Linked DNA regions of Drosophila melanogaster. Changing the gene in region 2 together with the main gene of any one other region gives a genetic interaction. Each region holds a gene or a part of one and is shown on either strand. Other genes may lie near its edges. The genes, in order: Incenp and ord.

The links.
Region 1: of ord (region 2) and Incenp, changing one enhances a phenotype caused by changing the other (phenotypic enhancement), as found in Drosophila melanogaster (one study listed by BioGRID).

What each region holds. Positions count from the first base shown.
Region 1 is NT_033778.4:7,276,953-7,282,588, reverse strand, and holds Incenp (inner centromere protein), read right to left. Parts: upstream 3,984-5,636; 5' UTR 3,861-3,983; coding exon 3,792-3,860; intron 3,729-3,791; coding exon 3,548-3,728; intron 3,483-3,547; coding exon 2,423-3,482; intron 2,360-2,422; coding exon 2,263-2,359; intron 2,119-2,262; coding exon 1,452-2,118; intron 1,296-1,451; coding exon 1,102-1,295; 3' UTR 794-1,101; downstream 1-793. Other genes in the region: Br140 (Bromodomain-containing protein, 140kD), read left to right, coding at 4,707-5,636.
Region 2 is NT_033778.4:23,270,741-23,277,333, forward strand, and holds ord (orientation disruptor), read right to left. Parts: upstream 4,797-6,593; 5' UTR 3,035-4,796; coding exon 2,984-3,034; intron 2,926-2,983; coding exon 2,300-2,925; intron 2,237-2,299; coding exon 1,987-2,236; intron 1,927-1,986; coding exon 1,747-1,926; intron 1,680-1,746; coding exon 1,602-1,679; intron 1,549-1,601; coding exon 1,294-1,548; 3' UTR 1,274-1,293; intron 1,210-1,273; 3' UTR 517-1,209; downstream 1-516. Other genes in the region: CG13540 (uncharacterized protein), read left to right, coding at 1-230. UniProt on the Drosophila melanogaster protein: Essential for proper maintenance of sister-chromatid cohesion in both male and female meiosis. Mutations in ord cause premature separation of the sister chromatids in meiosis I and random segregation in both meiotic divisions.

The DNA.
Region 1 (5,636 bases), about 16 Mb from region 2:
CTCGACTCAAACTGACTCGTGCGAAGCACGAAGACTTCGCGCAGAGCCGAAGAAACGAGAAACCGCAACTCGCTTGGCCGCTCTTCGGAAGAGTGCCCGCGAGTGGAAGACTACGCAGCCAGTCTTCAGTTCGATTCTTCAAAATAGGTTTTTGATTTGGAGCTGCAAATGCTGTATTTTGCAAAAAGTTTCTTTTACTTGGCATGCTGATGGCAACTCTGTTAGGCTGTAATATCAGGTGGAAGACCAACATGGGAAAATCTAAAAGTTGGTCTTTCAAAAGTTCTAAAGAATTGCAAACTGATGGATCACAAAAGTGGCATTTGATGGAATTTTAGAGCTTATTCATTTAGATGTGTTACTATCTTTCCTTACAGTTTTTGATAGAGTATCCAATGTGCCACATGGAATTCACATAGATTCAGCCCCAATCGACTTGGGTCCGTGGGGAAGTGGAGCTACTAACAGAGTGCACTTAAACGGAAACAGTAACAATTGAAAGTGGCAATTTGGGGAGCGTACGCGCCTTAATTAGATTGCGGATTAAGATGGTCCCATCGAATCATATTCATGGGTGGATCCGCGGCGACTTCCACATGGAGTCGACTCTAATCAGCAGCAATTACTGTGCCAATTGCCCATGCCGATTCCGCTGATTTCGGCTTTCGATTGAAAATGAGAATGGCTCGTTGGAAAAGTGGGATTAGCAGCAATGGAAACATGATGGAGGAGAATCGAATCGAGGCAGTCTTTTCGATCGTCTGCGCATCATGCCACAAAACCATGCCCCATGACCAGTGAAATTGTGTTTGCCGGGCTTGTTTTCTTTTATTTCGTTTACTTGCCTCCTCTGCGTTTTCACACTTTTCACGAATCGACGTATCCATTGTTGGGCAACTTGGCTAATGGAATCGGCAAGCAGCCACCAGCGAACCATTAATTGAGCACGCTGGCGGCTTTAATAGTTCTAAAGCAGCTGGATATTAGTGTCAGAGTCGCAGTGAATCGCGCAGCGGTACTCCGCTTTAATTTTCACAATTAACTTTATTTATTCGATCATAAACATGTGCATTTACGGGAGAAGAGAGCAGGACTACTTGGCTAGTATTTCGGCAGCTCGGAATAGCGCGGCGGCGTGGACCACAGCACGCTGGAGTTTCGCTTCAGCTGGCTGGGATCGATGTTCGGGAATATCTGCTTTAGGTCCGGTGTGGTGGGCGCCACCGAGAAAAAGCTGTCGATGATGTCGGTTGGGCAGTGGCTCTGCATAGCAATTGCCTCTCCCCTTACGTGGCCTGAAAATAAACACATAAGTCAGAATCTATATTTAAGAACATTTCCTTTAGTAGTCCCAATGGAAATCAGACTGTAATCTGGTGTATTTACTTGTATATATTTACGATGAATAAGGTATCTCGAAAATAACTCTTCGAAATGATCCACAAACTTACTTCGACTCCAGGTGGGCGCTGGGGGACGCTTGTGGGTGACCTTTCCCTCGTCGTCTGTCGAGTCGTCTTCGTGCAGCATCTCCCAGGTGTACTTGGTTTTCGGCGGCGGCGGAAGCATCTTCTTGGGCTTGGCGCCGGTTAGCTGCTGCAGTTTCTGCTGCTCCAGCTCCTTGAACTTGGCCTTCTTGAGCGCCTCGGCTTCCTCTTGCTGGCGCATCTTCCGCTGCAGCTCCTCCAGCTCTTGTCGTTTGCGCTCTTCAATTCGCTTTCGCTCCTCCTGCTTCTTGGCGCGCTCGGCGGCCAGCTTGGCCATACGCTCTGCCCGCTCCCGCTCCTTGGCTTCGCGCTGCTGGGCAGCCTGCTGGTGCTTTTGCTCACGCAGCTTCTTGCGCTCCTCCGCCAGATTGTGCAGGCCCTTGCGGAAGTCGTCTCCGCTGTTCTCGCGCGACAGCGTTTTTGTGGACGTGGAATTGACCGACCTTAGGTTCGTACCGGTGGCCGTCTTCAGCAGACTAGTGGCCTTAGACGCGCTGGCAGGTCCCTTCTTGGGCTGCGCCGAGCTTAATGGTAGTGTGCTTGTCGTTTGAGTCGGTGTGAAAAAGCGACCAACAGTCGGAGCAGGCAGCTTGCCAATTTTGGGAGTGTTGTTTGATCCTGGCGTGCCCTGCTGAAGAGTAAAAAAAAATAACAATAAATGAATCACCTATCAAACAGTTCTAGAAAGCGCCAATTGATACAGAACTGGTGAATAGTCTAGCCTAATTCTGCCTGCTATCTGCCTGCTATATATGTGCAACTATACTGTACCTACCAGATCTTTTCCCCGCTTAGGGCGCATGCTGTTCTGTGCGTTTGCCGCATTCTCGAACGCCTCCACGCGCATTTTCACTGGACTCTGAAGCAGTGGGCTGTAGAAGTGCAAAGATTGTTTAGAAGGATAACATGCATGAAGAGGCAGGGTATCTACTCACTTGAAAAGCTCATGTGTACGGGTAGGCAGTTTTATAGCCTTTATGCTCGAGAGCAGCTTGGTCGTCGGCAGCTTCTCCTCCACCGACTCGTCCTCCGTTAAGAGGCTGTCCTGCTTACTCAGAGGTTGTTTCTTGTCGTTGGAGTGCACCTCAAAAGTGGCATCTCCAGCTGGTCCTATTGGACTATCGCTCGTCGGCGCAGGACCCAGTACGAGGGTGGCGTTGGAAATCGCCACGGTCTCATTGACAGCAGCCGGAGCAACTGCAGCCACTGATTGCTCTGCAACGGGCGGATCTTCGAGTGCATCCTTGTATATGGATCGCTCCTGAACCGTTCGCGAATCGCTGCTACACTTGCGCGTGCGCGACGAGACTGGCGAGCTCTTGTCCAGGTCGCTGAATCGTTCCACCTTTATGGGTCGGTGGCTTTCCACGTCCTTCTTCTTCTTGCGGACCTTCTTGGAGACCTCCGTGGATGTCGTCGTGTTGCTGGCCACCGTATCGTCCGGTCGCGCTGCCTCCGTTGTTACAGAGGAGACGGTGGTCACATTTGCCGTGGAGACCGCATTGGTTAACGGGGGCACTGCTTCGGTACTGAGTTTCTCGCGCTTTACCTTCACGCGGAGTGTCTTCGTGGTGTTCACGTCCTCTGTGACTGAGGCCTCCTCCGGAGGCTTTTGCTGCTCAGCTGTTTCTGCTGCTGGCTCTTCTAGTTCCGGCTCCGCTAGTTTATTTTCCTCTAACGCCTGTGCACTGGTGAAGCTGTTAAACTGGGAGACTCGCTGCTCGCTCTCAACCTTGACCTTTACGAGCTCCTCGCTGCTGGGCCGCCGCATCTTACGGTTGAGTGAGGGCTCCTTGAGTAATTTCTCGGTCTTCAGCTTAGCGGCTCGCTGTGGCCTTCCGGAGCCGAGGGTGGTGTCCGCCGAGACGGGCACAGGCGGAGGCGGCATCAGCGAGGCCGTGGAGTTGTGCTCGTCCTCGGCGATAGCCAGCAACTGGGAGTTGCTGACCCGAGTGCTTTGACGGGCCGACGTGTTGTTGGCCGTGGCGTCTGGAGCTGCTCAAATGGAATATCACAGGGGTTGTTGGTCGTTAATGCTTTAAAATGGCCAGGATACTCACCCTCGGGCTCATTCTGATCCTCGGCCAGTGAGGTGAGTCGCTTGGGGCGCTTTTTCGTTTGCTGCGGCGTCACCGAAGAGTTCTCCTGACTCTTCGCTGCCGGAGCACTGTCCCTCGGTTTGGCCTCCGCCTCCGGCTGGCCTGTGCCGTAGAAGAGGTGGTCCAGCTCCTCAAAGTGGGCCTAAAAAACACATATGACGCCATGTTGACAGTGTCGGAATTTCGTCTCCTGATCCTGGCTTACCTTGCGCAGGACCTCGAGCTCCCTGCGCAGGTCCGAAAGCGAGCCCAGCACGCCCAAGATGTCCTCCATATCTAGCGACTGTATCTGACAAACTGCAAATCCGGATTCGGTTCCTTCGATTTTATCGTTTTTTTCAAATGGCGGCAATTGCGACGCGCGTCAGCATTTGATAACATGCCTTTAATTGTGCACTGTTGACAGTTAACAGCTCGTCGGGTGCTGTAAGGCGCATTTATGCCTCTGCTTTCCAACACTGCACGGGCGATAAAGTTCCCGCGCAAAATGAAAAACACAACCAAAACTTGTTTTTTGAGTGAATATTGGGAGATATTTATTTGAATTCTTTAAAATAATATTATTGGGTTATTTAAATAGTTACGTACTGGATTTCTAGCCCTGTAAATTTTGAAAGTATAACATTAGGTGAACCAGTTCCAATACGTTCCCGCCACTACCATCTCTAGAAAGCAGTGCTGCACGGCTCCCCAAAAAACATATTGTAAACAAATTTGAGGGAAAATGGTAAGGGAAAGAACAAAAAGGAACATTTAAATTATAAATATAGATTACGGAAGAGAATTAATTTGCGTAAAGGACCGGAAATATTTCAAACAAGTTTCAGCAAACGTCCAGTGCTGCACAAGCACTTCCGACGATAGTATCGCCATGGCGAGCTGACCAGCAAGCCCATCTCTAGCACATTTGTTAAAAAATTTGCAACAAGCCAACGAAAATCGACCAGGAACGGTGGACAGCCAAAACCGCGCGCTCTGCGACGACCACCGTGGGATGCACATACGTATGCGCAGCCGTGCCGCGGAGTAGACACAGTGCCCGCGATCCGCGACCAGCGAACCGCCAAACCCCGAGAAGCCAGCTGCAGCAGATCCACAGATCGCGCCGCAGATCCAGATCATGGGCCTCGACTTCGACGCAGTGGAATACTGCAAAGGGGTGAAGACCCAGCAGTCCCAGCCGCCTTTCGCCTGTCCCGTCCGCGGCTGCGACCGCAGCTACAAGACCATCATGGGTCTGCAATACCATCTTATGAAGTACGACCACGACAACCCACAGCCGCTCACGCCCGTGCTGACTCCGAGCCGCAAGAAGGCGCGCTCACGCTCCGGCGGCCACCACTCCACGCCTCGTCCGCACAAGGATCACCCCACGCCGGGTGGCGGTGGAGCTGAGGCCAGAAACGGCTGCTCCTCGGCCAGCGCAGGAGGTGGATCGGCGAGCGGAGTCAGCGCCCGGCAGTACGCCAATCCAGAGTCACTGGTGTCCTACAACGAGGAGGAGGCCACGGTGACGTTTAACTTGGACGGGAAGAGCGTGCGCCTGGGCATCGACGACGCCTTGCCGCTCGTAGAGGACGAAGAGTTCGCCGCCCTAGTGGCCAGGGGCTGTATTCTGAATGCCGACGCACCACCGCTGGAGGAGAACGCGCCCTGGGCAAGGGTCCAGGTGCCCGTGGCCAGGGTGGCCGAGATTCCGGACTACCGAGTGTCCGACGCCCCGCCACGGCCGCTGGCCTACTATCGCTTCATCGAAAAGTCCCTGGAGGAGCTGGACGGGGAGGTGGAGTACGACGTTGACGAGGAGGACTCCGCCTGGCTGGAGCACATGAACGAGGAGCGCCAGCGACTCGGCCTGAACGCCGTGGGCATCGACACGATGGAGCTGCTGATGGACCGGCTGGAGAAGGAGTCGCACTTCCAGGCGGCGGCCAACGGCACACCCACAGGCGTCGAGGTGGACGACGACGCAGTCTGCTGCATTTGCCTCGACGGCGAGTGCCAAAACACCAACGTGATACTTTTCTGCGACATGTGCAACCTGGCGGTA
Region 2 (6,593 bases):
ACATAGATTACTTAAAAGATGAAAAAACAAAGTTCAAGAAGAAGCGGCCCAATCTTTCGGATGCGAGCGTCACCAAGCAGCGCGCCACCTCACCACGAAGAGGAGCAATTGCAGACAACCCTCGTCAATTGGGTGGTGATCAGCACTGCTCGGAAAAGAGTTTTGCGCCCTCTGGTGACGAAATACCCACACCACGTGATTTGAAGGACAAACCTGGTGACCTTGCCTAAGGTCCGATACTGAAGTGGCCATAAAGCGATTTCAATTTGTAACATGTTTTCATTGATATAATCCAATAAATGATACGCCGGCTGTCTTGAAATCTCATTTAATAACTTTCAGTAGTAACATCCGGCCCCTTGGCAGCCAGGCCGGCGTGCGATCTTCTCGAGGTCGTGCACGAGGTGCGAAATGTGGCATCCAACGTAAACAAAATCTGTGGCCAGATAACAAATATAATAATATGCATTTACTGATGGCCCACATCTACAATAGATCTTAAGTATTCCCACAATTGGAAGGAAAGAACATTCATTTATTATCTGCTTATTTATAAACCTTGAACTTATGATATAACAGAATTTAGAAAGAATAAATGAGGATGAAATATACATATACATTTCTCCATATGATTATGTAAATGGTGTAATAGATTAATAATGCCATAGGATAGGAAAATCTTCGCCTCGCTTGTGTTCTTGTATAAAAAAAAAAATAGAATGTATAACTAAAGATTGTGTTTTCAAATGAATGATGTACCCCATCAGCGTCCAAAATAATTGCCCCAGTAACCGCCAATCACTCAAGTCCGTCCGCCAGTCAGTCAGCATTCCATCAGGATGTATCTCCGGGCTCTTGGCTTTGCAACTGGGTCACCGGGTGATTTTGGCTAAAAATGGTCTTGGTTAGCGCAAATGCATTTCGCCGGCAAATGACGCGTGCTTCTCGTCTGACAGCCATTGTAGTTGCTGTCTGTGGGTCGGGGTAGATGGTGGTGCAGATGGTGGTGCAAGGACCCTCGGCTGCTCCGCCAGTGGCACTCGAACAACTGACAGCCGGCAAAACCCTAATTGAAATGGAGCTGAAGAATGGGTTTGCAGCCGGAGTGAAGTTGGACCGTGAGCTGTGGCGTAATTAGAAAATGAACATGGAAATATTTGCGTGTGAAAGCCGCAGACGGCAGATAAATGCAATTTGTTCGAGGCGAAGCTGAAATTGCACGCAAGTCAGTTGGTTTGGGTATGTGCCAAGTTTTTGCAATAATATGACGCACCTAGTGTATTCCTTTGAAGACTATACGTTCTGCTGGACTTTGCCCACGGCCTCCTTGAGAAACTCGAGGTCGGACTCGTTCTCCTTGACCACATCTTCGAATATTTCCCATTGGGAGGTTCTGGAGGAGTCAGCATTTTCCTTTTGGAAGCACTTGATCAAGTGGCGACCCTCCTGCAACAGAGTGAAGGCACTTGGGTATTCGATGATGACGATGACGCCCAGGAACAAGGCCACATCAATGATGCGCTCCAAATAGCGGTGGCAGATCCATTTCTAAGGCCAAATAATAAATATTAATATTAATATTATTTAGTGAGGCAACTTACTGGTTCCGTGTTTTTCTTGGCGTAGAAGTCGTTCATAAAAAAGGCCGTCACATATTGCATAGTGGAAAACTCCGCCAGCTGTTTAAGGAAATACAATTTACAATCCTTTGACTTGAGCTCTAAATCAACTTTTCATTGTACAAACCGTTTCCAAATGGCTAATAACAAGAACCGACTGATTGACATGGGTGGCCAGGTCCAATTGGAAGGCCACCAATAGAATGTCCTTGATGTTGTGATCAGTATGATCCCACCAAATGTTGGAAGTATCACCGGCTCGACGAATAGACGTTCGCACTTTGGTCAAATCAAAGTCTTCGAGGGTCTAGTGGATATAGATATAGGCTCAATAACTTAAGAACCCACTGCAATTAGATGTGCTCACCTTGGAACGCAGCTGGTCTTTGTCACCAAGGCAAGGTACCAGAAACCACACTGTGTACTCCTGGGCCGTGATGTACTCGAATATGTGGCGCACCTGGTTGAAGACCTCCAGTATGAATTCTCGCTCCGTCAGACGCACTGCCTCGTTGACGTGCAGGCATGTTTTGGCCAACTTGCCCATCATATCGTTTGGTTTGATCGGGTTACTTTCGAACAGCTTTACAAAGGTCTCGAACGGGCTGTCGGGGTCTCTGCAGCAAACATGTTGGTTAGTCCTCAATAAATGGGAATACTTACGGAGTGGCTCGACCTACTTGAACTTTTTGAAGGCGTCTCCATCGCCGTCGCTTTGGATGACCTTTAGCCAGTTCCCGGAGCATTTCTCGTGCAGCTGCCTCAGAAGATTGATCGAGTGCTGGGGCCGCACAAAGAACTTGGCGTGGAACTCCGGGAGGGGGCACGATTGGCGTTTGCCGCCGTTTATATAATATGAAACGGTGTCCAGGGCGAAGTACATATCGAATCTTCGCTCTACGTTCACATAGATGCCTTTGGAATGTACGTTCCTTGTGGACGCCTCCTTGGCCTTGCGCTCCGCTCGCTGCACCATTCGCTCCAGGGCCTGTTTCGAGGTGGACGGTCCCTCATCCAGGTCGCTCTCCGACTCTGGCTCCGTCTCCTCTTCCTTATTCACGGGATACACTTTGAAGCTCATCGAGACACTTCCCTTGCCAATTTTCAGCTGCGGAATCGTTTCAAGGCTATCTGAATCCGGATAGGTCAGGGAGCAGAGGAGTAGGATGGCCTGGGCCACGGGCGTTACAGCCGGTAGGTCCTTTGCCATATCCGTGACCAAACTGTAGATGATAATGTGTACATTGTCCGCTTTCGAGAAGTTTATCTCCACTTCATCGCAGCCCAAGCAGTTGTTAATTTTCAACTAAACAATCATATACATTTAATACGTGCTTTCTGTTCTCAATATGAATACAACTCACTTTGATAAATTTAATGACGTGGTTTTTATTTAGCGTAGTTTCTCCGTACATTTTTCATAAATTTTTTCAGTCATTCGATAACTTAACAACTTTTTCGCTTACTTCAGTGAAGGTAAGTGCTCTAAAATTCCTTGATGACGCTAAGTTATCGACGCTCGATTAAATCGACTCAGAAAGTTAGTGCTATAAAATGTCCCACAGAAGTCAAAACGGGCTTTTGAAATTTTAGCAATTCTTGTAAGTGGATTTAAACTGATAGTTGATTTCGAAAAATTTAGCTTGTTTCAAACCCTAGAAAATAAAACCATGACCATCCAGCTGGTCCCAGTCCACTAATATGTTGCTCCCCATCCATTTGTATGCCCTTTTTCCCCGCCTAACGCATATTTATGAATCAGCAAGGAATCAACATTATTATGAGCCATGGGAAGTGAGCCATTAAATTGGCTTGGCCAGGCCAACAGACTGGATGCATAAAATTAGGATTAACGGCTTTCTAAGTGCCATCAAAAGCCCAACTGTCGTAATTCCCAAATGCACGCACTGAGCAACAATTAGTACGAAACTCCGTCCTGGTCACTTTTCAAAGAGGCTTATTTCGTTGGACAGTACGGAATGATATTAAATTTGAGCAAACGGCAAACAAAGGCGACAGAAATAAACCAAGATTGTGATTTTCTTTTAATTTTTATGACGCTGTCGTCGTAGTTTTCGTCGGATATTTTACGACTCGAACGAAAAGGAGAATACTTCCTTATCGCCCCGCCTTTGATGAGGCCCAAGGAAATCATTTATATTTCTGGGCTTCTTTCTGGCCAATTTTATGCCTTTTGCATTTTTAATGATGATTGCCATTTCAGCATTTTCTTCCCTGGGATTTACGAACCGTGGGGACCACACGTCACGAATTTAATTGCGATTTAATAGTCCAAGTGATCGCCAAAAACTTTTGTGCACTCGACAATTCTGATTCCGATGTTCTGATGTATGTGTGGTCGCTGGGGAAATGTGGAGACTCGGGGATTCCATGGCAGCTCGTAAAGCCAGCGAAATTATTGCAATTCCAGCAGACAGCGCCGATCCATCCGAATGGCCATGCAATTAGATTACCAGCCTTGGGCCACGTGATTCCTCCTCCGACCTGGGCTCTTCCTTTCGAGAGTAGAGGATCCAGTCCAGTAGTCGTTGTGGCTTTATCGCCAGCATAAATTTGCGCAGATAAAAGCGCGAAAAGAGCGCTGCTCATGTCCACACAGCATTCTTGGAGAAGAATCGCGGATCGAGGGGACTGGGGAATTCCCTCCACTTGCAATGTCCAGAAATTATAGCAATTTGCTTGTCAAATTGTTGCCGACTTGGCCAATAAATCGTTGGCTTTATGGGCCGCTCTGCGTCGCCAGGTGATCGCGATAGAGTTGTTTTAGAAATAAATTCGCCAAAAAGGCGATTCTGCTGGCTCCGCTTAGTGGTTCGTAAACTTGTAAAATGTGCAATTTGGCGGCCGGCTTTTACTTAAAGTCGATCGTTTTCCTTATTTTTACCTGCCTGATTTCGTTAATTTAATGCCTCCTTGCCATCCAGTCGGGCCAATTGAATAGTTGCACAAATCGCTGGGGGATTCAGATCGCAGTGAAGCGATTGAAATATGGTTATGGTGATTTACGTGGCGGTGGGTGGTAATTTGCAATGTTTGCGAGTGATGATGATGATGATGATGATGGCGGGTTGTTGAGCAGGCTAATTTGATGGCAGTTTATTGAGGAATTTTCAATATATCATCAGTTCGAAAGCCTAAGTTAACTTTAAACATTACAAAGTCCCCAGAAGAGTATAAATTTTTGTATACATTTTGAAGTTCGTTTCGAGACATTTCTGGCTTACTCCGTGAGATTGGGCATGTAGATTTTAAAATATTTTTAAAGAACCCGCACATAATTGCACTACTTGCATTCAACATCCAGCCAGCTAATGTGGAACCCCTCTCTCGCAGCCTAACCCCTTCATTCTATTGCTACATTCCCAATCCGGATTCTGGCCATGTTTCGCATCTGCAATTACCGACATTTTTATTGGCTCGCCCGTGGGAGCACCGCTTGCACCTGACATTGTTCGTGATTGTACAGGGTATGAAGTAGCTCAGCATTCTTGGCTCTGCAAGTTATTTTATCCTAGCTCTAGCTTGGTTTCAATATATAGCAAATACTTACAACAATAGCCATCGTATCAATATATACTTTAATATACGTATTGATTTTATTTTGATTTAGCAAATGTAGGGTATCTTATAGTCGCTCAATCCCAGCTCACAGTTGTAGCATGTTGTTGCTGCGGAATGCCAGATCCTTGAAGCAATCGCAATTCGAAATGTTTACGGTACATTTAATTTCATTTGGATTATTACAATATGCTTTAGGAGGCAACTGGGCTCTTCCCGCTACCCGCGTGCTCCGCCACAACCATGCTCCATTTGCCAGGCCAAACAATGAGCCGTGAAGATTGGGCTGGATGGATGCTGGATTAGAGGGGGGAATGCTGAATCCAGCGATTTTTGGGCAGGTGTAGCGATGTGCCAGGCGGACATATTTCATTGTTGTTGCCAAAGTGTAATTGCGAATTCCAGACAAATGTGAAATTTGAATTTACAAGTTTAACTTTTCTTGTGAAATCATTTGTTCGGGCTGCTCCTTTTGTGGGTTTACTTCGTTGTGCGACTCAAGTGTGCAGTTGGCAATTCTCGACTTAGTTCATTTGTTCCATTTCAACGCTTGCCAGCCGGAGGAGTCCTCTGGGAGAAGGAGGAGGCGGAGGAGGAGCAAGCTGGGGATGTGGTTGCTCCATCTTTTCGGGCTCCGCATAAACAAATGTACTCATGTCGCAGCTCCATTCACTGGATCCTGTGTTCCTCGTTTCCCACTCCACACGACCCTTTCACTTCGATTGTTCCATTTTCTTTGCCATATTTCCGGATTGCTGTACTTTGTCCTTTTGTCCTGGCAAAGGTATACTGTCGCTTTTGGGTAGCATGCGTAGATAAGCCATGTGATTATCTACAATTGATTCCCTTCTTGGGGAGTACATTACATATCAGATCCATTTGTAGCTATATTATATAAAGATAATACGTATTTCTTAGTTAGCATCATATGGATAAACAAACTATCTAAAAATGAACAAAGATTTATTGTGGTCCTCGTTTAAGACAATCGCTTTGTTAAAGGTATCTTAAAGGCGCCTCTTGCGATCCTGCGTTTCCGTGCCAGTAGCTTATGTTTTGTGCCTCGGCGGAGGACATCCGGATTCGTGAGCAGCTGGCGAGGCTTAGGCTGCGATCCCGGAATGCTTCACCTCAACGTGCCGCAAAACTCCGCTTCGAATGGAGGGTCCTTGAGGGCGAGGATATGCGGAATGCGAAGGCTCCTTGCGCAGGACTCCCTTCCTTTCGTTTGGCATTCTTGTTTGGCTTTTGTGCATTTGCACGGTTTTCTGTTGGCTTCCTTGTTGGCTGCCTGGCAGTGTGTTTTTGTCCAGGCTTTTGTGCTCGAGCGTTGTGCCGAAAAAGTTGCATTTCACGTCTTGTTGGACTCGGACTTGCTCCGGTTCTCCTCGTCAG